Linked DNA regions of Astyanax mexicanus. The protein of the gene in region 2 interacts with the protein of the main gene of each other region in a pairwise test. Links are inferred from orthologs where the notes say so. Each region holds a gene or a part of one and is shown on either strand. Other genes may lie near its edges. The genes, in order: pitx1, segment polarity protein dishevelled homolog DVL-3, kelch-like protein 12 and wt1a.

Evidence for each region.
Region 1: the proteins of segment polarity protein dishevelled homolog DVL-3 (region 2) and pitx1 interact in binary tests that used the Homo sapiens proteins (3 or more experiments, as listed by UniProt). The two-hybrid records come from large-scale screens. The link is inferred for Astyanax mexicanus from reciprocal best matches to the Homo sapiens genes DVL3 and PITX1.
Region 3: the proteins of segment polarity protein dishevelled homolog DVL-3 (region 2) and kelch-like protein 12 interact in binary tests that used the Homo sapiens proteins (3 or more experiments, as listed by UniProt). The two-hybrid records come from large-scale screens. The link is inferred for Astyanax mexicanus from reciprocal best matches to the Homo sapiens genes DVL3 and KLHL12.
Region 4: the proteins of segment polarity protein dishevelled homolog DVL-3 (region 2) and wt1a interact in binary tests that used the Homo sapiens proteins (3 or more experiments, as listed by UniProt). The link is inferred for Astyanax mexicanus from reciprocal best matches to the Homo sapiens genes DVL3 and WT1.

Annotation. Positions count from the first base shown.
Region 1 is NC_064424.1:34,451,506-34,458,453, forward strand, and holds the start of pitx1 (pituitary homeobox 1), read left to right. Parts: upstream 1-3,944; 5' UTR 3,945-4,154; intron 4,155-6,948. UniProt on the Homo sapiens protein: Sequence-specific transcription factor that binds gene promoters and activates their transcription. May play a role in the development of anterior structures, and in particular, the brain and facies and in specifying the identity or structure of hindlimb.
Region 2 is NC_064416.1:4,791,646-4,798,752, reverse strand, and holds the start of segment polarity protein dishevelled homolog DVL-3, read right to left. Parts: upstream 3,007-7,107; 5' UTR 2,673-3,006; coding exon 2,512-2,672; intron 1-2,511. UniProt on the Homo sapiens protein: Involved in the signal transduction pathway mediated by multiple Wnt genes.
Region 3 is NC_064419.1:47,237,737-47,244,715, reverse strand, and holds the start of kelch-like protein 12, read left to right. Parts: upstream 1-3,975; 5' UTR 3,976-4,310; intron 4,311-6,738; 5' UTR 6,739-6,805; coding exon 6,806-6,979. UniProt on the Homo sapiens protein: Substrate-specific adapter of a BCR (BTB-CUL3-RBX1) E3 ubiquitin ligase complex that acts as a negative regulator of Wnt signaling pathway and ER-Golgi transport.
Region 4 is NC_064417.1:5,718,430-5,726,238, reverse strand, and holds the start of wt1a (WT1 transcription factor a), read right to left. Parts: upstream 3,001-7,809; 5' UTR 2,137-3,000; coding exon 1,752-2,136; intron 1-1,751. UniProt on the Homo sapiens protein: Transcription factor that plays an important role in cellular development and cell survival. Recognizes and binds to the DNA sequence 5'-GCG(T/G)GGGCG-3'. Regulates the expression of numerous target genes, including EPO.

The DNA.
Region 1 (6,948 bases), on a different chromosome or scaffold from region 2:
GCTGTTGTGTCTGTTAGCATCACAGTCCAACTCTGTTAGCATTGCAACTAACCTGCTCCAAACTTTCATGCTTTCATATATCAAGATAATGTTAGATAACTTGATGCACAAAAGGTTGGAGGCCTTTATTAGTGCAGTAATGTTTCAATGTTCATGTTTCATCGTACACTCTGCCATCTTGCATACACAGTGCTGTATGTGGGCGGTCACTGTCTGGTCTCTTGGGGAGGGGCTAGGTTTCCAGAGAACATAGAGACACACACAGTGGGAGAGGCTTCATTCCGTTCTTAGGACAGCTTCACTCCACTACATTTTAAATAAAAATGTTGCTATATTAATATTTAAAAAGTCAGATTTTGTACTTTTAACATAGCAGAAGCCGTGTAGATGACTTCTCACCATTATCTGTTCTTACAAAAAAACACATTCTGTTTGACATACGTCGTCCCACACACACATATTCATTCTGACTCCAGTAAAGTGTGTGTGGTGTTTGACTGTCGGGTGTTGACCATAAACGGCGGGCTGGGGAGGATCCGCCCCGATGTTAATGATGACCCTGTTACCTCTACACTTATCTCCTGAGGCATTAGTCAACATTAGTCTAACTCTAAGTGGTTAATTATAGCTGGCCAAAATAAGTCAGTCATGGTTGTGTTACAGTCTATAACACAAATTCCACAGTTATTGATTCACCTTTTAAACCCAGTGTATAATTATGCAAATATATAAATAAAAAAAATAAAATGATACAACACAGGCTTGATACAACTTATGAAGTCATGCTCCAGTCCATAGTGAAACACAAGGCACCCTAAGGAGATGCTTGGCCAGATAGATCTTATATATTTGAAACGTTTATCACTTTTTCTTTCTCCCAAAAAAAAAACAAATCACTAGACATCCATCATCCTACAGTTTTGCCACTATCAGGGCCATAATAAATAATGGATTTATTTGCTGGATGAGGAACTCGCAGTTGAAACCAAGTTGCTGTCCGCAAAAGTACTGAGCAGTGACTAAAGGGTTCAACTACAACCCCAATCTTGATCACAGCTTTAATCCCAAAATTGCCAACTTTAACACAAACTTCAACTCAATTTCCAACTTCAACCCTGATTCTAGTTGTAACCCCAACTCCAGCCACAAACATAGTCCTATACCCAATCCCATCTTTGGTCCCAGCACTAATGCCAAATCCAACCCAGTCCTAATCCCATTCCCAAATCCCAACTCCAGCTCCAATCCTAATCATAAATTTATCCAGCTCTAATTCCTACCCTATGCCTTTCCTCATACTAATTTAGGCCTAGCTGCAATCTGCTAACTACAATCCCAATCTCATCCTTAATGCTAACTTTAATCCCAGTATTAGTCCACACCTTAATTCCATTTGCCATACCCACCCTTACCCCAGCTCTAATTTTTTATTTTTCCATTCTATTACATGCAGGTTTTAATCTTCCCCAATTCAAATCCAACCCCAAACCTAATTCCACTCCTAATCCCAATTTTTCACAGCTCAAAAACCATACCCCATCTCACCTGTAAATATGTTCCCATCTCTAACATCTAACCCCAATCACAAACCCTCTAACACAGTACCAACTCCAGTCCTGAACTGAACTCCAATACCAGTCCAAACCCGAACTCCCAGCCCAGCTCCAAACAAACCCTACTGTATCTGACTTACAGAACCCTGTGTGTGTATCTGTGGTTCTGCGCTGTTCGTGTAGCAGAAGAAGTGGGTCACAGCGCGTTTAGAATATACACATGAGGGTGTTTAAATTTAAGTTTGACTGCAGATTGATCGGAACCCTTCAGCCGCTCATGTCCGTAGCCGCGCTGTGGTTTATAATAATGCTGGAAAATTAACCGATCAGACGATCACGGCAACTGTCACTAAAAACTGCCATAACAGGGTAGACTTCAAACTAAAACAGGTAACATTAATAAAATACTTTTCATATTTATAAATTAAAATAGTGATAAAATATAAATCTATATGTAACACTTTATAAAGTAACTAAAGGTTTAAACAATATTTAACTACACAGTGTAAATATTTAACAGTAAACAGTTATTATACGGCACAAAAAACATTTGTAGATCCTATTTATTTTCAAGAGTATAATTTAACAGTAAACCCTGCATTTAAAGTTCAATCATATAAAGCAATAATAATAATAATAATAATAATAATAATAATAATAATAATAATAATAATAATAATAATAATAATAATAATAATACACTAGTATCCCCATCATAAATAAGAAACAAGAAACTCTAAATACATCACATTAGTACATAAAACAAATTGAATTCATACAATAATATCAACTATTTCAAACAGAAAATAATAATGATTAAAATAATAGGAAAGTGCCCTGCGGGATAATGTAAAGTTATCTGTATAGTTAGGGAGGTGTAATAGGAATGTCTGTAGATTTAAGGAAGGGTAGGAGGGGGTTGCTGTTTATTGGCTTCTTCTTAATCCCGCTATTAAGCGCGAGCTTCTTAAAGGGGCTGATTGGATTTAAGATCAGTATCAAACACTGTGCTCATAACATACAGCCCTATCCGACCATGACCACCCCCCCACCACTAACCAATAATAATAATAACAATAATAATAATAATAATAATAATAATAATAATAATAATAATAATAATAATAATAATAATAATAATAATAGCTGTTCCGTTGGGAATAAATGTGCTCAGTATGTTTATTATTTAAGATGAATCTGTCTTTATTATGGTGTGTGTTATAAGATTGATATTGGTTTAAAATTCAGCTTCGTGTTTTAGAACAGCGCGCGCGGCTGCGAATTTAGCTCTACAACAGTATTAAATATAAATAAATGAAATATAAAAATGCTTGATTAATATGTATTAATAAGAACTGAACCGTAACTAAACAATTTTAAATGAAATTGTATTAACATGTATTTAAACGGACTAGGAAAGAATTTCTACTTTACAGTCCCTCTGTTCTGAGGCACTCCAGTTTTATCAGTTTGAATACAGCCTACTCAAAACGGAGCGAAATGTCTACATCACCCCCCCTCAGCACCACCAGCTATAGGCTTAGTTCATCTAGAATCCCACATAAACGCCAACCCTAACATTAACATCAACACTAGCGCCATCAATTAACATTAACTTGCAAAACCAAAATCTGCACTAGCTCCACCTATAAAATCAAACCAACACCAACAGACCACCAAAGCAAACCCTAACATCAACAATAGCTTTATCAAAATTAACACCAGCATCTAAAAAACACATTTAACATTAAAACTAACATCAAATCCAACACTAACACCATCTATAAAATACCAGAGCAATATCATTTATAGTAACATAAATAGCCAATACAATACGCTACCATTAACCATAATATTATCAACGTATTATTCAAATGTTAACCATAAGCACAAATTTTAGCACCAAACCAGCATCAGCTTCAACACCAAAGCCAAAACTAACACCATGTATATAGCTTCAATACTAAAACCAACAGAATAAACAATTTTATAAAAAGCCAATGCACTCAACTTTCAACACTTAAACCACCAACATGCTACCACCACATCCAAAACCAATAGTGATGCCATCATCACTTAAACGTCAGTCTCAACCCAGATATTAATCAGATCTTCTTAAGTCTACTCTTGGGCTATACAGCATTTTAATTTAGATTTCTATAAAATAAAAATATAACCTACGACTTGAGCTTAATTCCTGTCTGGGAAACAGACCCTTAAAGTTTCCCTCAGCCACAAACCTAAACTCTAGTACCTAAACCCTAAGACATACACCCTAAACACCAACCCCTAGACCCTAACTATCTCTCCGCACTGGTTGCTCGGGACAGCTTTCCTTTCCGCTCAGACGCAGGAGTGACGTCACGTGCACGCTGGAGTAGCCGCTTAGAGAAAAGCCCAGAGAGGCGCGCGCAGCAACCAAAGCGAACAGAACGCGTGCGCTGCGGGAGATTTACACATCTATACACACATAACACACCGGCTTTTCACAGCATCACACACACGCACCTTATACATACACTTCTGCACTTTCCGGAGCTCTTAGCGCGTGCGGAAGCGCGAGCTGCATGGGGACAGTCTAACCGGCGGAAGGATCGCGCGGTGAGTGACTTCTGCTTTTTTCCGCGTTTCACGAGCCTTAACCAGAGCAGGGCACGAACTCCAGTCTGTACAGCGCGATGTGTTCGGTGTCTGTGTGTGTGATTATGTTTTGGCACCCTCGCTGTGGAATAGCTTGTCTTTTTTCAGAACCGATTTTACCTGCTGTTGCTGTTCCCTGCGCTGTCCTAAAATTGCGCGAGCTCGATAATAATTCATGCTAAAATTAATTGCAAAACCGACTGATTTGCATCAAATGAAAACAACAGAATTACATAAGGAGATATTTGTACACATTCTGGCAAGGGCGTGCATGGGTGTTCATGAGTGTTTGTGTGTTTTATAGCGAGCCACATACTGGAGCTTTATTAGCCTCATAAAAGAACGCGGCTCTGCAGATACAGATAAACGTGAAGATTCCTTGAGCAGGTTTTTTGTTTTCGATGCTTTTAATTTTCTTGCAAATATGCACACAAAATATTACACCCCAAATGGTGTTCTTCTATGGTATCGCTGAAAAATCTTTTGTAACATCTTTTTCAAACAGCAATAACAAAGGAAACCAATTCAAACAGCAATAACAAAATCAAGCACAAGAAAAAAACATGCAAAAAAGTTTATTGTATAATTCAAACTATATTTAAATAAAAAAAACTTCAATATTTCAATATTTCATTAAATACATATAAACATATATAGTATCGTTGACAGAACAATTTTATCAGCTTTATTTGAATTATGTTAGGAATTTAATTTAAATAGCAATTTAAATACCACTAACAAAATCGCGCGTGAGAAAGAAGTGTGCAAAAATAGATCCGCGAGGCTTCGGTGGTGCAGCATTGATGGTAGTTCAAAGTGAGTGTAGAGAGGTGTGTGTTCAGGAGTGTGTGTGACAGTACTGGTAAAAGCCTTTATTCATTTATCTCGTTTTGTCAGAGAGCTTGCTTTGAGAATGAGCAGCAGGCCACAAGTAGTGAAGCTGCATGTGCGCGCGTTTCTAGACTAAAATGAGTTGAATATAAAAGTTCAAATAATAAGCAAAGAATAAAAACAGCAGATTAAAAGGGCTTAGGTACTGGGGATTCTTTTTTAACGCCATCGTAGCTTTCTGGCGAAGAGTATGACATACAGAAGTGTTTACATTTTTTAAAAAGTGGATGCAAATATATATATTTTTTATCTCTTTTTCATTGGACACGTCTTTTTTTAAATTAAATGTTCTTTATTTATGAAAGAACCCTGTGTAGCACCTTTTTGTTTGTAAGAGTGTGTGCCACAGTAAACCAATACCACCAAAGTAAACATAACCTAAACACAGAGAAGCATTTTTAAAAGCTAAAAACTTACCTAAAAACAGCACACATCACTGCTACAAAGGTGAAAACACTGTGGAAAGTGTAAATCGATATAAAGTGGTGCTGAAGCGAGCGTAGCTAAAGTTGGTACTGAATCAAAAATCTAAAAAACTCGGACAGTTCTCAAACTCTCGGAGATTTTTTATTAAAAATGAAACGCTAAACTAATTATACTCTTGAAAATAAAGGATCTACAAATGGTTATTTGTGCCTTAGAATTACTTATAATAACTCTACAATCCTGTAGAGGAACTTCCGTATGCTTAGTTCTTATTTCATCTTTCTAATACTAACTATACATTAATTCTATATGTAACATAGTCATTTGTTTAATTGAACAGTGGTTATCCAAGTGTTCGATTCAAATGACAAAATAATAATAATAATAATAATAATAATAATAATAATAATAATAATAATAATAATAATAATAATAATAATAAAGGCCTGAAGGTGTGTTTAAATCTTAGATTTTCAAACGTAAAATCGTGAAAAAGTATATAGTAAGAAATATCCCATAAGAAAAGTTTCAAATATACTAAATAATAATAATAATAATAATAATAATAATAATAATAATAATAATAATAATAATAATAACAATAATAATAAAATTGTCAGGAAGGATTAAATTGTGTTTGACTCTATTAAATACAGTGATACATCACTGGTTTTATTTAAAGAGCCCTTCAGCTGATCTATACACACTCAAACAGCACTCAGACACGGCAGGGTGAAGGTGAGGCTCATGATGAAGGTTCTGGGGGGGAGCTGGAGTTGGGGTTTTGGATTAGGTTATGGTTGAGAGCACGGTCTATCATACTGCCGTTATCAAATATTAGAATGTACACAATAAAATACAACTATTCCACACGGTTGAAAGGACTGCTTCTGGTCCTACCGGTCAGCAGTCCAGACTAAATGGTGGTGTTTTGCGGTAAAAGAGCTGTAGTTCAGACACACTCTCTCTCTCTATCTCTCTTTCTCTCTCTCTCTCTCTCTCTCTCTCTCTCTCTCTTTCTCTCTCTCTCTCTCTCTCTCTCTCTCTCTCTCTCTCTCTCACACACAGACACACACACACTCTAGTTATGTAGTGTCTCTCTTTCAGTGCAGTGTTGCCGCTCCGGTTTATAATTCAGTGCGGTTATAAAACACCAGCCCAAACACGGCGTTAAGCTAAAGCCTGTTGACTAAGGCCTAAAAGTCTGTGGTAGTACGGGAACTAAACCTATATATAAATCAAGTTTAACGTTTAAGTTAAATTATTAAAAACGAATTGATTTTATCAAATCTATCATGCACTTAATTGAGCGGTTTTCCAGACAGGCATTTAGTCTATTCTAGGACGAAACAGCATTTTGAATAGAGATTTCCTTTAAAAGGAAAATGCAGTCTACGACTATGCCTAATCCTTGGAAAGTGCCCCTAAATGTAAAATG
Region 2 (7,107 bases):
TCCTTTCGCACACTGACTCTTGCGCTGTCTCTTCCTCTCTATCTCCCAAGCTCAAACAAGATTCAAGTATGATAATGAGATTACTTGAGTCAGCTGTTAAATAAATACGTTGTGTGGGAATAATTTTTTTGTTACAATTTACATAAAGGTATTAAAAAAAGTAAAAAAGTATATTTTGGGTATCTGTATCAGTATCAAAAGTTTTGAAAAGATACCCAGTCCAAGAATCTCCCATTGGTTAATAATTACTGCATGGGTTTATTATTGTTTCCGCTGGCAACAAGTTATTTAAATCTAGCTGATGCAGGGAGTAGCTTCTCATGTATTAAACCACATGTGGAAAGACTCATCTTGTGGTTGTAAACATACTATAATCGTTCTTTAAAGCAGTGTCAGAATGTATTAAAAACTATTCAGTGTAATAACTTTTGTAAAAACTCTTTAGATTAAATAATACGCTTCTGTAGAACTCAAGCTTTCATACCAAATCCACTCTGAATGAGTCAGTTCACATCTTTAAATACTATTAAATAACACAGAAATGCAGCAGAACTGGTGAATTCCCCTGTAGTTTGTGTAATAAGCTTTTAATAACTCAGAGAAGCTGATGAGGTTTAAGAGTGTAGAGCTCAGGCTGGGGGACTGTTGGATTTTCTGCCTCCTGTCTATAATGAATTTCTATTTCTTTTTGGTGTAAAGCTGTACGGGAACACAATTCCTTACAGAATGCAGTTTAGTATTCTGTAATGTCTTTAATATTAAATTTACAATGTAAAAAAATACAAAAGAACAGACTATTGCTTTCCTGCTTCTCCTTCCTCTCAAAATGTACCTTCCTACACCTGTCTGACCATCTGCTCACAATGGAAGCAACTCCCCTTGTCTTGTCCCAGGGGTCATCTCCTGCTCTTCCTTGCCATAACAATAAAACCAAAGGAAAAAAACAGTTAAATCAAATTATAGCTATAAAACCTCTGCTCAAGCCATCCTGCCTATATTTCTCTATTTCTAAAATTGATGCTATAAAAATGAGTGTTCAAGTACAGTATGATTTATTATTATTATTATTATTATTATTTCCAGCTAATATGAAATGATGAAATGATTGAAATGCCATATTTAACTGTTAGGGCATGTGTAAATATAAAGAAAGGGTGTTTGTATATATGAGAATATACTATGCTCAGAGGAAATATGTGATGATTTGTAAAGGGATAGCAAGCTATAATTTAGCTATAATCTGATTTTATACATTAAACACTGAAATGTAGGAAATGTTATAAAGTAAATGTTATATATGTATTAATTTCATGTATTTTTATAGGATTTATAGTTTTAAAAGTCGTCCAAAAGGTTGAAAAAGTCATGTGTGACACAGCAAATGAGGTTTTCCTAAGAAAAGCTCACTTCAGCATCTTATTCAACAGCTTCTTTTCGAATTGTCCGTTCCACCTTAAATAAAGGATCCAAACTTAAGCAGCAGCGAGTGCCATAATACAAAAGCTGCCCTGTTTAAGGTGGATCAAACAATTCGACAGGAATGGAAATATGGAATATGCTGAAGGAAAGAAGGGGTGATGGGTGAAGGGATAGCAAGCTATAAATTAAATATAATCTGATTGTACCTATTTAACACTGGAATTTAAGATTTTTATAGTATAAATTACGATGTATGGTCTTAAAACAGATTACAAAGTCCAGAAAATAATGTAGTTATGACACATAGCAAAAAAAGCTCAATCAACAGTTTTATTTTCGAATTGTCCATTCCACCTTAAATACAGGAGCGAACTCCAGTAGTTGCGCTTTACCGCTGCTAGTGCCATAATACAAAAGCTGCCCTGTTTTTAAGGTGGACCGGGCAATTAGAAGCCATGGAACTATGCTAGAGGAAAGGTGGGGTGATTTGTTAAAGCTGCAACCTATATGTTAAGATATAATCTAATTGTATCCATTAACACAGGAATTTAGTAACTTTTCAAACTTTAAATTACAATGTATTGTCTTAAAATACTTTACAAAGTCTAGAAAATAAAAGCCAAAAAATATCAGTTCAGCGTCTTTTTCAACAGCTTCTTCAATAGAATTTAAGAACAGTTATTAAAATGAAATTAGGATTTATAGAAAGTATAGTCTTATAAGGCTTTATAAGGTTCAGAAAGTAATGTATGACACACAGCACATTAGGTTTTGTTAATAACACCCTATCTTATTCAACAGCTTCTTAAATGGATTTTAAGAACAATTATAAAGTAGAAATAAGGATTTGTAGAATGTGTAGTCTTAAAATGCTTTATAAGGTTCCAAAAAAAGCAAATGAGGTTTTCGTTATAACGTTCAATCTTATTCAACAGCTTCTTTTAAAATTCTCCGTTCCACCTTAAATATAGGAGCCAGATTCAGCAGTTGCGTTCCTACCGCTGCTAGTGCCATAATACAAAAGCTGCCCTATTTTTAAGGTGGACCGGACAATTCGAAGACATGGAAATATGGAATATACTAGATCCTTACCCGAAATCATCGTCCATTGATTTGAAGAAGAATTTGTAATTCGGCTTATTAAGGACATGTTTGAAGTCGGCCAGGGTGACCCTCTCGGCCGGGATGGGGAGTTTGACCAGGTAAGGTGTCTCCTGGTCGTCGAGGTGGTAGATGATCTTGGTCTCCCCCATGGCGGGCCGCTGGGGAGGAGCAGGCCGGGCGCATCCAGCCCCGAGTCCGTCCAGCAGCGCCTCTTCTCCGGCTGCAGTCTCCGCGCCGCTCCGCTCCGCTCAGGCTCCCGGACCCTAACCCGTAAAGCAGAGCGGTGAACCGTAACCCTCCGCGGGCGGGAATACCGACAGCAGGTAATATAGATCCCCAAACGCGGTTAAAGCGCCGCTTTTCTCCGGTACTCCTCGGTCCTTATGTCCAACCCGGGCTCGGTGTGGAGTTCGCAGCCCCGCTGCCCCGCAGCCCCACGGCGGACTGAGCGGCCCTGCTTTCTCCTCCTTCCCTTCCGAACAGCTGGAGAGCGGAGCCCCGTCAAACTACGGCGCCCACAGGCCGAGCTCGGTACTGCAGCTACTGTCAATGAATCACCTCAACTCATCTATTAGAATCATTAACAATGAAGAAAGACTGATACTGACTACATACAATCATCTATAGCACTTTACACTTTCACTCCTCTAATTATTTATATTTAATTCAGATCAACAAAGTACTTAAGTATTTAATTATACACGTATGTATTTATCTATAGTATCTGTTTACTAGTTGTTCTATTTGTTCGTCCTTCTGTTCATCCATCCATCCATCGCATCGGTACTAGTTGTTCTATCCATCTGTCTGTCCATCCATCCATCCACGCACAGTATATTTGTACTAGTTATTCTATTGGTCCGTCCATCCATCCATAGTATCTGTTTACTAGTTGTTCCATCCATCCATGCCCAGTATATTTTTACTAGTTAATCTCTCCATCTGTCCGTTTGTCCATCCATCCACAGTATCTGTTTACTAGTTGTTTTATCTGTCCATCCATTCATAGTATCTATTTACTAGTTGTTCTCTCCATCTTTGTCAATCCATCCATCCATCCATAGTATCTGTTTACTAGTTGTTCACCTGTCCATTCATCCAGATACAGTATGTTTACTAGCTGTTCCATCCACAGTGTCTGTTCACTAGTTATTTTATACATCCATCCATCCATCCATCCATCCATCCATCCATCTTCAGTATCTGTTTACCAGTTGTTCTATCCATCCATTAATAGTATCTGTTTACTAGTTGTTCTATCTGTCCGTCTATCCATCCATCCACCCATCAAGATACAGAATGTTTACTAGTTGTTTCATCTATCCATACATTCACAGTATCTGTTTACTAGTTATTCTATCCATCCGACAATCCTTCCATCTATCAATATACAGTATATGTTTACTAGTTATTCTATGTGTCGGACTATCCCATCTGTCCATCAATCCATCCATCATTTATTTATCATGTATTTTAATTTTGCAGTTGTTATGATGGCTGAGGCCAGATTCCAGATTCAGTTTGTTACAGTACAATAATAAGTCATGCTGCATACCCATATCTCTTGTTTTAGTAGCAGTAGTAAACATTCAGTATCTTGTGATCTAGCTGATATAATAAAGAACTGATTAAACAGACAAAGGTGTTGAATCGGGACTGGAAACACTGGACCTGCAGCTGAACTGGGTCTGTAAACTGGGTCTGTAAACTGGGTCTTTTGAATGATTTTTCTGTCCCTGAATAAAATACTGATTAAGAGGCTCCATCTAGTGGCTTAAACGTATTTCAATCTTCCTGCAGCTCTCAGTTCAGAGAACAATGAGACAATGAACACATTCATTTGATCCCTTTTATTCTCAGAAAAGGAAGGAAGAAACCAGTTATCTGAGATCATTAGGGCTACAGATGATCACGACTATATATTCTAGTATGCACCCCCACCACCACCCTCCTTACACACACACACACACATTCCATGACATTTAAAAGGTAATAAATTAGGCCTGTCACAATGATAAACGGCTTGGATGATATACTGCGTTATCCCAAAAGTAATTGCAATTAATGTTATTGTTGTAATTTAATAATAAACGACACTATTTAATGCCATTGCAGTAATGCAAATATAACATAACAATAGTTATAAATACTAACATAATATAATAACACCCTTACAAAAGACAAAATCATTTAGTTAATAATAGATAATAGTATATAATAGTAATATTAGCAACATTAACAGAGGGTTGCTATTATTAATGCACTGATCATGGTGCGGCAGGTAAATACTGAAGTAAATTTATTTGTATGTAAACAGTTAATACCAATGTTATTACTACAGGCCTAAAAGTAATGTTTTTCAGGCTGAAACAGGCTAATGTCATCCATATTCAGTGGAAGTGAATAGCAAGAGCAATTATATTATTATAGGCATAATTAGAAGGACTGCTTAGTTCATTCTTATTTCTTTTGAAGGGCCCATATATAACACTTTTCCCTGGAGTCTGTGTACAACAAAAACATCATAATTACATTGAAGTAATTAGTGATTTTGTGAGTTTGCCCATTTGAAAAAGACATGAACTGTCTATAATTTTAAGGGTAGGTAAATTTTAAGAGTGAAAGACAGAATATAAAAAATAAAATCTACCCCTATCAACCAATCAAGTTCTGGCTCCTACAGACCAGTTAGAAACTCCTAATCAATTGTTACAAGTATTAAAGAGAGCTGTCTTAATTTACCCACTGTATAAAAGACTCCTGTCCACAGACTCAATTAATCAATCAGACTCTTACTTCCACAACATGGGGAACACCAAACACCTTCCTATGGCTCTCAGGGACAAGATCGCAGACCTACACAAGGCTGGAATGGGCTACTAAACCTATATACCTAAGTAAGTGCTGGGTGAGAAGGAGACAACTGTTGGTGCAATAGTAAGAAAATGAAATAAATACAAAATGACAGTCAATCGACATCAATCTGATGCTCTATGCAAAATCTAATCTCATTGGGTATCCTTGATCATGAGGAAGGTGAGAGATCAGCCTAAAACTACATGCAGGGAACTTGTTAATGATCTCAAGGTAGCTGGGACCGTGGTCAGCAAGTAAACCATTGGAAACACATTACGCCCAAATGTATTAAAATATTGCAGAGCCCGCATGATCCCCCTGCTCAAGAAGGCACAAGTGCAGGCCTGTTGAAAGTTTGCTAATGAACACCTGGATGATTCTAAAAGTGATTGGGAGAAAATGCTGTGGTGAGATGAGCCAAAAATTGTGTTCTTTGGCATTAATTCAACTTGTGTGTTTGAATGACCCAAAGAACACTGCCCCTACTATCAAGCATGGAGGTGGGAACATTATGTTTTGGTGATGTGTTATGGTGTATTCTTGTGTTGATGTATATTTTTTTGTTGTTTTTTGTTTCTTTTCTAAAGGCACAAAAGTACTTTACTGAATCAATGGAAGAATTGATGGAGCCATGTACTGTAAAATCCTGAGCAACAAACCTTCTTTACTCAGCCAGGAAATTAAAACTAGGTTGTGGCTGGGTCTTCCAGCATGACAATGACCCAAAACATACAGCCAAGGCAAAAAAAAACAACAACAAAAAAAGAATGGCTCAAAAAGAAGGACATTAACGGAGAACTGTGAATGGTGTAAAATAGACTTTTGGTGTAGTAAAACATCATAAAACATACTTACCTTTGATGAAGGTAACGCCAACAGTTACTCCAACAAAATTAGAATAACCTCTTTTTAATACCCTTGATTTCAGACGAAACACTGTGAATGAGCAGGTGCCCCATTATTTGTGTTCATGTATAGTTTTTTTTTTGTTTTTTGTAACAGCTTAAAGACAATTATTTGAAATCAGGTGTTTTTTAACCATTTAAATGTCAAAAGATTCAATGCATCAACCTTTTTGATTACATTTTAAACACTACATGTGTATGTGCTACATTAGATTCGATTTAAAATATAAAATAAAAATGCTACAGGCCCTTAAAACCATAAATTAAAAAAAATTATACATTTGCATGGGGAAAAAAAAGAGATGCAAACAGGAAGACGAGGAAGATACTTTTTACATGACGTACTTTACAGCGATAGGTGATTTTTGCTTTTCTACAATACTGACATCATGACATTCAAATATGGCTTAAAGCAGTGATTCAAAACCATGATCTCTGAGGACCAAACTCCTCTGATCTGCATGTTTTAGTGGTTTCCTGCTCTAATGCTACACATTCAGTTCAAATTAGACTTGTTAATAAGTAAATTAGGTTAAATAGCTGAATCAGTTGATTTGAGAGAAGGATGTACACTTAAGGCTCAATCCCATTTTCCCCCTTCTACTCTGTTTTGAGTGTGGATGCCTAGGGGTAGGGTGTCTTAATTCTTGTTAGGCTATTGGGGGTAAGTGGGGTAAAATGTTAGTAGGGCTACATCTTCCTTCAAAGGAACAATCGAAATTATGCAGTCCCTTAAGTGACTTTGTATGTAAAAAAAAATAATGTGTAATTTGTGGCCACAGCTTAATTATCTCATTCACACGCCTTAATTATCTTGTTCCTT
Region 3 (6,979 bases), on a different chromosome or scaffold from region 2:
GCCCATCTCTATTTACCCCCAGTATTTCAAAATACAGCGCTTTTAGCCGATGCTCCCAACAGGCTAATCCTGCGTTCACACTGGAAAGCGACAAAGCAACAGGTGCCTGTTCATTCCTATGATAGGGTGCGATTTCTTGCTGCGACACGTGAGAAGCAGCAGAGTGTCGAGCAAAACACAAGCGACAATTTCCTCAACTTTGAAGCGACATTCTAACCCGACTGGTTTTTAGCATTTCTTTGGAACTTTTGGTTCCTTTCGCATTTCTGCAGAATAAAGTGGCCAAGCGATTCCTCATATTTATACCATATTTTCCCTCCAAAATGTATATTTTTAAGTGCGACTAAAAATGACTGGATGGTTAGTGTTAGGTCTGTCACAATAATTACATTATCGATTTATCGTACATTAAATAGACATTACCTTAATAATATTTGATAATTGTGATATCGTCTATTGTGCTAATTTGTATGCTTGTTTACATATATAAAACTGTGAACAGAATTTTAGTCAATACTGCTTCAAAAACTGACCAATGTTTTAATAACTGTGACTTCACCCACACAGTGTGAACTGCAGTAAGAGAAGAAATAAGTATTATTCCCAAACTATGATTAATTTAAATTTTGTTGTCTTTAAAAGGGTATGATTGCTTTTTTCATTCCATTCTGTTATATTTATATCAGTGGCATTTAATGGTCTTAAAATGACAAATATCGTGTATCACAATAATTTCTGGGACGATATATTGTGCACAAAAAAATGTTATCGTGACAGGCCTGGTAAATGTTAAATATAAAAAAAACATTTAGCATGTTTTATTAAAATCAATTTATTTGTAACCATTTCAGTGATCTAACATTAGTTACCAAATACATATTTAATTCAAACACGCATTTAATAAATAATATTTTTTGTAGGGCCAATACAAAGCAGTTGTAAGCAATGCAATTTTTCTTTTTCTTTTTTTTTTTTTTTGGAAGCTGGACCATGATACATGCATGCACTGAGATTTAACACCCAAGGACAAACGCCTGCAAGGACAAACACGGGATGCGTTCTAGTGTAAATGCAAAGTTACAGTGCTAGTGATAGGGGCATAGCGTTACTCATGCAAATGCAAGAAATGGCTTTTTTGTTTTTATAGCATTAACAAACTCAAAGTAGCTTCACACTTCATTGGTAGAAATCTGAGGGCCCTGATATTTAAAACGAGGCACTGAGAGCTTTAAGAGTGCACAGATATTTGTTTAAAACACTGTTTATACACACAGTACCTTCATTTAGTTTATTAAAACAATTTTTGTACACTTTTTCTCGATCCAACGAATAAGTAGGATAGGGGAACAGATTGAAAAAATATATATTTTTGCGGAAATGCATGCATGAATTCCAGCAATTGCTAAAAATATATCTATATCATATTAATGGATTTCCACGGAAATTAGTTTTCCAATCCTGTTCCCCTATCCTTCCTATTCAATGGTTAACTCTATGCCCTTATCACTGGTACTGTAAGCATGTTGGGAGCATCAGCTAAAGCGCTGTATTTCTGAATGCAGGGGAAAAATGGAGATGGGCTATTCAACAAAAGTTCATACTCATTTTTATGTTTCACTACAACCCAAGTCCATTTCACACCAGATTTCTCCTTTTAAATGTTTGTGCACGGTTCAGAACGTCCATCGTAACAGACTCAGATTCATCTCAGAGTCATCCTGCACTGAGAGCTGAACAGCACTACCTCTCTCCTCCTCTACGCCGCCGGGTGATCACTCTCCGTGTCCTGGAGTGATACCTACAGGTTCTGGACTCTACGGACGTTTATGTCCCACTTCTTAGATGTTAAAGGGAATAGGAATAAGATGTGAATGTCTTTATCTGCTGTAAATGTTTTCTTGTGACCAATACACTTTGTGAACTGAAATTTCTTATATACATTTTTGGATGTTTGATGTTTTCCTGTACAATAATTTGGTCAAGATGTATCTCTTAAGCAAAAAAAAACAATTTGACCAAATAATTACAAATTGTGTTTTTTTCAAATGAAGAAATTACTATAAAGAAATGCTTAAAAACTGCCTTGGTAGCTAATAAGAAAAAAAAAAGAAAAAAAAAAAATCATTCCATGTATGTTTTCTGTGGCCAAGATGGCAATACTCCTGAATACACCTTATTTCCAGACCAACACGCCAAATACAGATACAGTTTCTCTGATTTTGCTATTTATAGGTTTATGTTTGAGTCAAATGAACATTGTTGTTTTATTCTATAAACTACAGACAACATTTCTCCCAAATTCCACATAAAAATCTTTTATAATTTAGAGCATTTATTTACAGAAAATGAGAAATGGCTGAAATAACAAAAAGATGCAGAGCTTTCAGACCTCAAATAACAAAGCAAAGAAAACAAGTTCAGATTCATAAAGTTTTAAGAGTTCAGAAATCAATATTTGGTGGAATAACCCTGGTTTTTCATGCATCTTGGCATCATGTTCTCCTCCACCAGTCTTACACACTGCTTTTGGATAACTTTATGCTGCTTTACTCCTGGTGCAAAAATTCAAGCAGTTCAGTTTGGTGGTTTGATGGCTTGTGATCATCCATCTTCCTCTTGATTATATTCCAGAGGTTTTCAATTTGGTAAAATCAAAGAAACTCATCATTTTTAAGTGGTATCTTTTTTTCCCAGAGCTGTATATTCAGAAGCTGGTGGTTGAACCAGAGTTGCAGACATGTTAAATCAGTTATGGGGACTATTGTTGTTCTGTTTTTAAAACATTTTCTAAATTTTATTATTATAATAATTACTGTGATATTGTGCAGCGATAGGCTGGACTAAAAGTTAAGCTTTACCTCTTTACGCTCAATACAGAGACCATATGATTATGAAATATTAAGAGAAAATATTATTATTAATAGTTGAACATGCAGCAACAAGCGTCTTCATAGTGAAGGTTAATATTCCTCTGTATGTGTAATAATGTGATAATAGGATTATCTAGTTTATCCACCAGAGGGCGCAAACGTAGACCAAGGTCTCATTGGCCAATCACTTTACATTATGTTATCAATTTATTCAGTGTAACGGTGTCAGTTAAGAAAACAATTTTTTTTTCATTTGCTAAAGTAAAAAATATTTTTGTTAGTTTCTATCAAACATCTGATGGGTTAATCTAATAGTCGAAATATATTTTTTATCTTCCCTGAAATTCAGATTTCATGAAAAACTACAATTTAGAAAAACAAAAGAAAATCCATTCAAGAGAAAGTCTTCCCTTCCCTCCCTGCTGAAACTGAGCTAAAGGCGAAAGCTGTTGCCATGTGGGTCAGCCAGACCATTTTCAACGAGTCTTGTGAAGGTGTAGGAAACAGTACTCACTGTTTCATCTGTATTTTCTCTTAAGAAAAGACTTCTAATTTTAATAGTTAAACAGTTAAAGTGTTTCTGTGTCTTTTGCTAGTTAGTTTCTAGCTTCGGAAATTGACATTTATTTTAAATCCATTTCCCAAAGCTCATTTTATTTTCTTGGATACTTACCAGCTGTAAGCTGCTAACCAATTCATTGTTACCATGTTACCACGATAAAAAAACACCCCTTTTTTAAACCATAATTTTATCAGAATTTTTTACAATATACAATTCTTTATTATTATTATTATTTTTTTTTTTTTTTTAACTGTTCCAGTTTTAAACGCTACTCCACCTACAGGATACGACGTAAAACAAGGAATTTTGCAGGATCCTAGGAACTATACTGAGTTATTATTATTATTATTATTATTATTATTATTATTATTATTATTATTATTATTATTATTATTATTATCATTATTATTATTATTATTATTATTATTATTATTATTATTATTATTATTATTATTATTATTATTATTATTATTATTATGGTGGGCGTTACCAGAGCCGCCGTCAGCACGTCAGGCGTGTACGTGATGGCGTATCAGTGTTTTGGTTGCCATCGTGTTGCTGAGGGACGTGAGAGCCCTGCATTAAAAACATACAGCCGGAGTAACTTCAGCTTTTAATTAACTAAATAACTTAAAAAACTCAAACCTCAGCGCGTTCAGCGAGAACTGGGGAATAATATATATATATGCTGCAGTATTCAGAGCTAGGGCGCCGGTTCCTGCCTTGTTTTAGTGGTTTTCTGAGCACCGGGCGGAGGTTGAGAGCGTGGCTGGAGTATGAAGCTCTGTGGGCGGCCGCTGCAGCGCTGACTAACCGCTTACAGCACACGGAGCCCCGGCTCGCCTGGTCTCACTCCTCCGCTGCTGCTGTTGCTGCCGGTACGTTTAACCAGGGTTTGGATTTTATTATATGTGCCTTTACATAACTTTTGGGAGCAAAAATACTTATTTTACTTTTAGATATTCAGAAAGGTGTTCAGTTTGTGTGGATATTAAGGTAAATTATCTACTGTTAGCTTTGGTGCTAACTGGATCCAGGTAAAAACTGTCTTGGCTCATTTAACGTTACATTGCCAGAAACAGTATTAGCATGTTAGCTTGCTAACCTAGCACTAATATAATAATAGATACTAATTTATACATAATACATAGTTTGGTTAGATATTTTAAGACATCTAGCTGTATTTAACGTTAGCTAACCTGAGCTAGCTAGCTTAGCTTAGTAAACACTATTTGCACCAGGTAGAGATAGGTTAGCTAGCGTTAGCTAACTAGCTAAGCTAAGCTAGGTAAAATAATACTCCTGTAACAGAAAGTCTTTTCTTTATTCCCCCACTTTAGTACCCAAGTAGAAGTAATAAAGTAGCTTTATCTTTTTAATCAAGATTGTGGATATAATATTCTTTTTCATATATTTGGGGGGAAAATACTTATTTTACTTTCATATATTCAGAAAGGTGTTCAGTTTGTGTAGATATTTAGGTGGAGTATCTACTGTTAACTGTAACTGGATCCAGGTAATACCTAGCTTAGTTTAGCTTAGCTTAGCTTAAATGACCAGAAACGGTGTTTAGCCAGTTAGCCTGTTAGCTTGCTAACCTAGCACAAATGCTACCTATCTCGCTAGTTAATGTTAGCTACTAAAGAGTGCCCATGTTCACCAGGAATTTCCGCAGGTTTAACTTTATAAAGGCAGTTTATAGTAATAAATAGTGACGTGGGTTGTTTTAAGATATCTAGCTGTATTAACTAACTTGGGCTAGCTAGCTTAGCTTAGTTAGCACTATTTGCACCAGGTAGAGATATGTAAGCTAACTAGCTAAGCTAAATTAGGTAAAATATTACTCATGTTACAGTAAAAGTCCTTTCTTTATTCCTTCACTTCAGTAAGTAAAAGTAAAAAAATAACTATTTACCTTCAAATGTAACTGGTAAAAGTACTATGATTTATTATATCTACTTCTAATGTAATGTAATTTTTTATCTAGGCTCTTGAAATAATGTGCTTTTTCACAACTTGTGTGAACAAACATGTTTGTTATTTTCATATATATTTAGAAAGGTTAGTTAGGTAGCTAGCTAATTTACACATTGCTATCTGCTCATGTTTTTAAGCAATATTTCAGCAAATTTAGCCACTGCTTTTCTGTTTTTATGATTTTTTTACATTGTAAATTTAATATTGAAGACTGTATTAAAGCTATACAGAAACACATGCTGAATTATTTAGTGTTAAATAGACCAGAATATGTTTTATATTTTAGATTCCTCTAAGTAGCACATTTATCTTTAAGGACATATCTGCACACTCTTGGTATTTTCTCAGTGTTTTCATGAGATTTGTGTCATTACTACAGTTTACTGTGAAGTTAACTAAATGTTTTTCATTGCAATGTTTTCCATTGTTTTCTGATGCATTCTTTTCTTTGTATTTATACAGTTGGCTTTTTACTTCTACTTCTTACATTTTTACACAATTATCTGAACTGTCTACTCCTTACATTTGATTTAAAAAAATGGAAAAAAATAAATCATTTTAGCTGGTTTTCATTCCGGCTTCTCATCGTTCAATAAAAACCCTATCCAGATAAATCTCTCCATCCAGATAGAGTGAATCTGATTGTGATTGGATGTAGAGAAGTATAAACATAAATCATTTCGACACCCTATTGGTTTATACTGTGATCTATCACAACTGCACACCATACGCCCCGCACACTCCAGCAAGAACATAGCAGACGTATGTAACCTAGTATGAAGATGATCCGTGCAGAGACTCGAGAGTACTCCAGATAAACTCCAGTCCAACTAAACTTCCTTTAATATATTTACATTCTACTAAAATACATACATTTACAATGGGGCATATATGCAGCTGAAACAGGGAACAGCGTAGAACATCACAAATTATATTATCAACATTTACATTTTAATATTTAAACATTTATAGTCATTATGGCTTTTAGAAAAATGTGTTTTGCTTTTGATATATTTGTACATACACACAGTCGTATCAGAATATTATGTCCAATGTTATTTATCATCACTGTCTATCTTATCAGCCTTACTGATAGGAGCACATATAGGAGCAGTTAGTACTGGTAGTATAGTGTACACAAAGTTAGAACTGTATTCAGAGAGCATTTAAAATCTACCTGTAGCCTTTTTAACTTTTAATTGCATATGTCTTTTTATGTTTGTTATAGAGGCACGTCTCAGTATGTGTTATTATTCTTACCATTAATCATGTGTGTGAGTGTATTTATTATCCTCAGAGCTCTTAGTCTGTGTTGTTTTGTGATCACAGACCCGAGTCGAGCTCCATCATCCTGCACTGCCTGTGGACGTGCCGCTCTCCCCCTTCGCCAGTTGCCATGGCGCCCAAAGACATCATGACCAACTCCCATGCCAAGTCCATCTTAAATGCCATGAACGCCTTGAGGAAGAGCAACACGCTGTGTGACATCACGCTGAGGGTGGAGAACACAGATTTCCCCGCCCACCGCATCGTCCTGGCCGCCTGCAGCGACTACTTCTGTGCCATGTTC
Region 4 (7,809 bases), on a different chromosome or scaffold from region 2:
CCAACATTTATTTACGCCATTAAGTTAAACATGTACCTCATTATGAGTATAGACTGCTCAACTAATAAGGCTTTGGATCATTACCTGATACGTTTATCTGGCTTATTATTAAAGATACATATTTTAAATGTTTTTGAGCAAAAAAAAAAGCATGTTCTTACTTATTTATTGATTATTCATTTATAGAGTGTGTATATTGTAATAAATATATTTTGCCGTCTTGTTTTTTTACAGTGCAGTGTTTTAAGTTGGACTTTATTTGGACCCATTACTTTACATACTGTGCCAAACCATAGCACTAAAGATACAAAAAATAATCTATAAAATATATTTTGGTGGTGAATTAAATTAAATGTCTTTAAGTCATATGTTCTTATCAATTAAAAGAAATTCAAAGCAATTTCAAAAGCATTCAATTTAAATGCACTGAAAGGCTGTTAAATTTGTTAGTCTAAATGCTTTTTCTTCTTCTTCAGATGTGCTTACATTTTATTTTAAATGGCAGGTGTTGACTTCAAGTGCCTGAACTGTACAAATTGAGTGTGTGCTGCTTAAGGATCACGCATGTGGGATTTAATCATTTTTCTAATACTATTTGCTCAAAGCAGCAGAGCTTTTTTCCTAAGTATGATCCATCACTGTAGGTGGAAAAACCTGCAGTTTTTCTCACTGCACTCCCAAACTTTTATCAACACTCCCCGTGACCAAAAGCAACACGCTTGATGGTCTTAAATAAAGTTAAACATTAATCACTCGCATGCCTCACATTTCTGCAAGACGTGATGGAGATCTGATGCAAGAGGAGTTGGAATATTGAGTAAAATATAGGATGCCTGGTTCTAACTTCCAGCAAAGGAATTTAAGCAACTCCAAATAGTTGTAAATCAAATTTAAAATTGTATTAAAAAATGTTTTATTCTTTATAAAGTGATTTTACTGACAAATATCTAAAGATGAAGAAAAAGTGCACAAACATATCGTATATGATTGTATATGACATTGTGTCAAACACAGCAATCGAAACGGATTCCGGTAACCAATGTATGTTTAGCACATAATATATGCTTAAATATTACATTTAGGCACATTTATTAAATACTGACCTTTTTCCAAATTGATTTAACACTATTGTGATAATAAAATTGAACAATGTTCATTTAATAATGAATCCAACTAGAATATATACTATAAATAATATATATCTTGTGCAAAAACAACAACTAAAAACTTGCTACCACATTTCCTCCAAATGTTTCCTTCACTTCCTTCACTCAACTTGTATTGTTCAAACTTCTGTTAATGCTTTTTGCTCAATACACTTGATAACAATAATACAAATTAATACAAACTTTGTTAATTATGATTTATTACAGAGTAGTATTTAAATAAATATCACTATAATATCTTGTAGTTTTGTATTTCTTTTGGTTTAAACATTTAAAATTCATACAGAAAGTTGAATTTGTCTGTTTTGTGCTTGTTGAGGATTATCAAACATACAAAGAATATTCGCATGATAATAGAAGAATAGGACAGTTTTTTTTGTCAAGTCTAATGATTAATGTGCATTGTATTGCATAGCATGTGTTTAAAAAGGAATAACACATTATATTATACCTTCTTCACAACTTTGCTGAATAGCTGTACAAGAAGGCCTGAAGAACCCTAGTTAATTCAGTAACATCCCTGTTCTCATCTCTAGAAAAGGCTTTGACTAAAAACAGGTATTGAGTATCAAGAGATGGTCTTACCCTGGTTCCTGGAGCTGGCCTGACCATCCATACAGTTGGACAGGTACGGGCCATTGCTGAACATTCTGGGCTGACTGGCCGGAGGCTGGTTGGCTGCAGGTGTCCCGAAGGCCCCGTACCTGCAGGCCCCTGTGCCTGTAAACTGGCCAGAGAAGTGGACGGTGAAGGCGCTGAGGCCACAGTGAGGGTCCTCGTGGGGGTCTGCTGAGCCCCAGCTGGGCTCCTGCTTGATAAAGGAGTGGCTGTAAGGTGGGCCAGTGTGAAAGTCCAGCACAGGAGCCCATTGAGGGGCACTGCTGACGGGCAGCGGGCAGTTCCCATTCCCTGCGGGCAGAGCCGGGACAGGGGACAGGAGGGTGTTGAGGTCACGGACGTCCGAACCCATGCCCGACGTCTTGCTCACCTGGGCGACCGGGTCCAAGGTGGAAAGAGAAGTCTTGCAATCTCCTGGAAGCTGATTTCAAATTTCTTGCAAATCCAGGACAGAGTCAAAAGTCAAGTCCAGAAAAGCCGCATACTTGAGTTTTTAAGATGTTAGGCAGCAGCAGAAACACCAGGAACTTCATGCATTAAGAGTCCGAAGCAAAAAAAAAAAAAAAAAAAGGACGAGATACTTAGAAAGAAAGAAGAAAGAAGCTGACAGTACCCAGGCTCCTTCGTGGGATGTCCCAGCCAGGGAGAGATCTCTGAATGAAGTAAGAGAGACAGAGAGCGAGAGAGAAGGAGAGAGGAGGAGGAGGTGGAGGAGTAGGAGGAGGAGGAGGAGGAGAGGAATAGCTCCTTCACCGTGTGTCTGTTTTCTTTGGAGGCCAGAAGGCTCAAATAGAAGCACAGACAGAGGAGCCAGGAGGAGGGGCTAAATACAGACTGAGGAGGCTTCATTCATTTACTTCAGTAAATACTATATAACCTACCTTTATCCCGCGCATCTCACAGGGCCCCCAGTGTGTGCATTCAGATGACTGGGTTTGAGTGGATGAAGTTATTCATATTATTTTCTATATTTTTACAGCTGTGTCCCCATGACTGGAAGACAGTTTCTCTACTAATAACAACAGGATAAATATCTTTAAAACGTCTCTCGCTGCTAAATATTTTCTGAGGTATATAGCATTAATAAAAAAATAAAGATTAACAAGAATGCCTTTTTCTCTAATCGCGCGCGACTTAGATCACGAGGGCTACATAAATAATTAAGTCGGAACATCGGAATGATCGTTTTAATACAACGTAATGCATTTGCCGTTAAAAAAAAGGCGCTATAGGAATATGAAACATAGGAATATTTAATTCGGCTTTTAAATAACCCGATCAGTTTTTATTATTATTATATTTTTGTTCTTTTGTTAACCTTTAAAATATAAATATATCCTATTTTAGTCTAATCTCTCTTCCCAATTAAAATCTAAATTAATCTGCCGTGGCAGTAATTTAATGGTTTAAGTGGGGTATTAGTTTCTATTCGTTCAAAGGAAATAATAATGATCTCTAAAAATAATTTAAAATGTCGACATCAACCAGGTAATAATTAAATTATTCGTTTCGGAGCTTACTAAAATATAATACCAACAGCTAGAGGCGACGGAAATAATAATAATAATAATAATAATAATAATAATAATAATAATAACAACTGACCTTTGTACTATTACTAATATTAATGTTTTAAAATCCGTTTTTTTATTACAACCATCAATTACATAAGTTAAATATGGATTTAAATTAAATATGGACTTATAAACGTGCCCAAAGTTCCCTAAAATGTAAGCGCATTTCCCAGCCGAAGAGAATGACAGACAGTATGTCAATGTAAAAAAATATATATACTATACTTGATTCGTTTTTATTTTAATTCTTATGATTTTATTTTTTTACACGTAACACGTAAAAAGACACATTTGTAGGAAAAGTAAAGATTCGATTATGTATGTACTAGAGTATTTCTGTTTGTCTACATTTATCGTGACATTATTACACAATGTAAAGAAAACATTTACATCATATCGAAAAATGAAACACGACATAAATAGATGTCAAATAGACACGTTTTTGTGCGACAGAGACGACACGCAGCCGAAGCGCGCACCTCCAGTAAATTAAAAAGGGTGAAGTCACCCCGCGCGCGCGCGCACGCATATACACAAACACACACACACACACCATTTCTGATGGAGTTTATTTTTTTCTCTCTATTTAAAACAGAGAGGGAAAAAATAACTGTCGGATTGTGGAAGATGGATGTGGGCTGGACCCGGTGGAAATAACCGTGTTTAGATAAAAGTGAGGAGTTTCTCCTCTCCACAGAAAATGACAGAGATCACAGCCGCGCGCAGGTGGTCACTGCTGGATGACCTCTGCTGCGGATAATCAGGTAATATTCAAATCGAGATGGAAAGCATAACTGCAGAGCTGAGCACATTTATCTTCTACAGGGGACCAGAGAAAACAGCTTTCTGTAATAAAACATTCAAAACTGCAGGACAGTGGCTCGGACTGGTCAAGAGTGTATGCTTACCTCACAAACAGGCCCTGTGTGTGTGCTCCTGCAAATTAGTCTGTTTTACATTTTACAGCAGTGTGATTACTGAAGACATATTTAAATGGTAATTCTGTTCAGATAGGACAGTGGCATCATTTCTATAAGCAAGAAGAAAAAGAGGAAGAAAATTCAATTTCAGCTCTCCACAGAGTGTGAAGAGAGGATCACTGTCCTCCCTCCACTCCCTCCGCCTGGGCTCCACTCCTCCTTCACCTCTGGCTTACTGTCTGAAAGGGAGTAAATGACTGGACCTCCTGGACCTGTCCTCACTTTAAGGGTACAGCTGAAGCCTGGAGATACAAACACAGTCATAGCCTGGCTACAAGCACATAGAGACAAACCAATCAATAAAACAATCAATCAATAAATTAATGAATCAAGGTTTAATAATATAAACACTAACACTTTTTTTGTATTTATATATAATTGTTTCGGATCTGTACGACTAATTATATACATTTATATATAAATGTTTGAAATCATTTTTGACTTTCGCAGTTGTAAAGTTATAAAGTTATGTAATCAATTGCATAGAATATCTATTTTTACTACACTGTTTTAACAATTAAAATGTCATTTTTTTCTTCCTGAAAACAGTGCTTATAAAAACTTGTGACCTACACCTAGTGATGTCTCTTTTTCTGGCGAGAAAAATGTGGCAGGCAGTGAGTCTGACCATTTTTTTCTCTTATTATTTTGTATACAATTTTGAGGATACACCAAAAGTATGTTATTATTATAATAAAAGTATATATATATAATATTATTAGAATATTATTATATTAAGTATAATATTACAGCATAATGTTATTGCAATATTGAGAGAATCTCTCAATTGATGTAAAGCAATGAGGCTTTGAAAAAGCGAAAAAAAAAATAGAGTGTAATATAAATTCAGTGTTAGCACATGGAAGTTACAACAAAAAACAATGTAAAATGTCTGTTACTGTTACGGTCAACCATGTTATTTTTTAACAGTTTAAGTAATTTAATTTATTTAACATTAACAGATTTGACTGATGAGTCAAATCATCTTATGCATGCAATTCTGTAATGGCCCATTTATGTGCATGTAAGTTTATATATGCACATGCCATTGTAAAATTGCTGAAAGCATTGCTCTAAAAAAATTAAACGTGTACCTTATATGCATCCCATCTGAGAGGTAAAATAGGCTTTTTTTATTCCAGAAAGTCATTTATCTGTTTATTTATTCATCATTATCATTTATTTATGATATTTTTACCACAAAAAAGTGGTACACATCTGATCTTTCTTACACGGCATGATCTGAAAACACATACAGCTCAACAGAGAAGGTCCTGGACACAGGCCCTGAGTTTTTGAGCTTAATCACAGGAGCCAGAAATTGGTGTCCTTGAGTGTTTCTTCTCGTTTGATGTATGATGACTTTAAAGGTTATCTTCACTGCTTCTAGTCTTGCCAGCCATTTCGCTCTCATAGCAACAGTTAGCCTTATACACAAACATTGTCAGTGAAGGCCGGACAAGACAGTGTTACTTCATATCACAGAGGGTAGCTCTTGCCAGAAATTTGGAGAAAACATGAGAAGCCACTCCTTTTCATAACAAGTGTTTTGATCAAATGACTGTAGAACACAGAGATGCCTTGGGTCCATTCTTATCTGGGGTGCGTTTCCCGATAGCGATTGTTCTTAGGGATTTAAGAACAACTTTAAGAACGACTTAACTTTAAGAACGCCATTTTTCCGACTGTTTCCAGAAGCCACTCTTAAGTCTCCATACTTACGAAGGACCTTTAAGTAGCACTTTGGTGGCTCCGCCCCCGTGTCTGTGAGGTTTAAGGCAAAGCCAGATGAAAACTAGACCACCGATTTATATACAGTTCTTCATTATTAAGCCACAAAGGTATAATTTTGTATGATATAAAAAGCCAAATAAAATATATTTACTTATTTGTTTACTACTACGACTGTCAGACTGGGGAAAACCGTTAATTTAATCCATATGTGTGTGATATGTGTGAATAAAAATTATATTTGTAGGTAATTGTAACTTTTTCTTCACGTGAATACGATTATTTCAACCATATAATAAACCCAAATACTATGAATAAATATGCGCAGGTTAATAAATTAATTTAAATAGTCTGGAATTTAGTCTTTTTTTTATTGTTTATTTTTTTATAAATACGTATGCTGAATGCATCTTTAAATGCATTTTTTTAAGGATCAAAAGCGGCCTCTTTCGTTTTTGAGTCAGAACTGCACGTGGATTCCACGTTAAGAAGAACTTAGTTATTTACGAGTGGGTCAGACCACTCGTAAAGTTACGAACGAGTTTAAGTACTACGTTAGTTACGAAGGCTTTCGGGAAACGCTCGTAATTTTAAGATTGTTCGTAAGTACGAAGTTACGAAGTACTTAGCGTTAAGAACGTTTTGGGAAACGCACCCCTGGTCTATATAATTTAAGCCAAAATTGTCTGCAATGTTGCCAGATCATGCATGTCTCGGACTACCTTCACTGAACCTACGGCGCAGAAGAAAAATGTGTATTTCCTCTAAATTTCCAGTTTCTCCATGAAGTGTTATATTTTAATAGTGAAAGCGCAGTTCAGGAAAGTTTTATTACAAGTCAGCTTCTCCATGTAATGAACGGAAAGGGCGTGACGCAGGTCCTGCAGACGTCTGGTCTGTTCCAGCCAAGGTTGTCAATCACTTAATTCCTGGGTGTTATCCCACCTTCTTATGATATAGCAGAATATCGTTTTAAAAACATTAAATATGTGCCAATATAAGCAACCAGAAAAGTAACTGTTGGAATAAGATACTGGAGATGGAAAGACAATTTAAAGAAGGAAAATTTTCTGTTTTGTCACTGAAACATACAGGGGTTTGTGGAGCTACACACCATATTAGTTTCTCTTTTGAGGGACATTGCACTCTTCATGCTTTCAACAATCATTGTTGTTGGATGATCAAGAAAATAAATGTATTGCTGCTTCAACTTAAACTTGCACTTTCTATTCATTCTTCCGTTCTTGCAAAAAAAAAAATGATGCTGGAAAAATAAAGTCATAAAGCATACTCTGACTTGACATGACTTTAGCCTGCCATCATTTTGCACACTGTGACCATCCTGTAACCAGTTAACCGAGATACATCTCAATTTGTCCGGCGCTCAGGCCTCGGCTGCAGCCGGAAGTGTTGGCCTAGGAGTAGGACATGGATAAGCAGAGGCAGCAGAGCTTGTTAAATTGATGAGTTGAGATGTGCTCTTACTTCACCATCTGGAATTCTAGTCTAGAGTTCTGCTGAAAGCTGCTGACCTGGGACTCAACTCTTCAACCCGTGGAAGAGCAGCAAGAAAAAAAGCCTGTCATGTCGGCAGAAGTCACTGTGTCAATGCTCTTTATCTTCCCATCAAACTGAAGAGGCTGGAATAAAGTCCTGGAGCAGGCCTTGCAATACAACAAGGCAGAGTTCCAAAGCAATATTGAGTGGAAGTGGTTAGCTTTCATAGTTTTGGCTTGAACC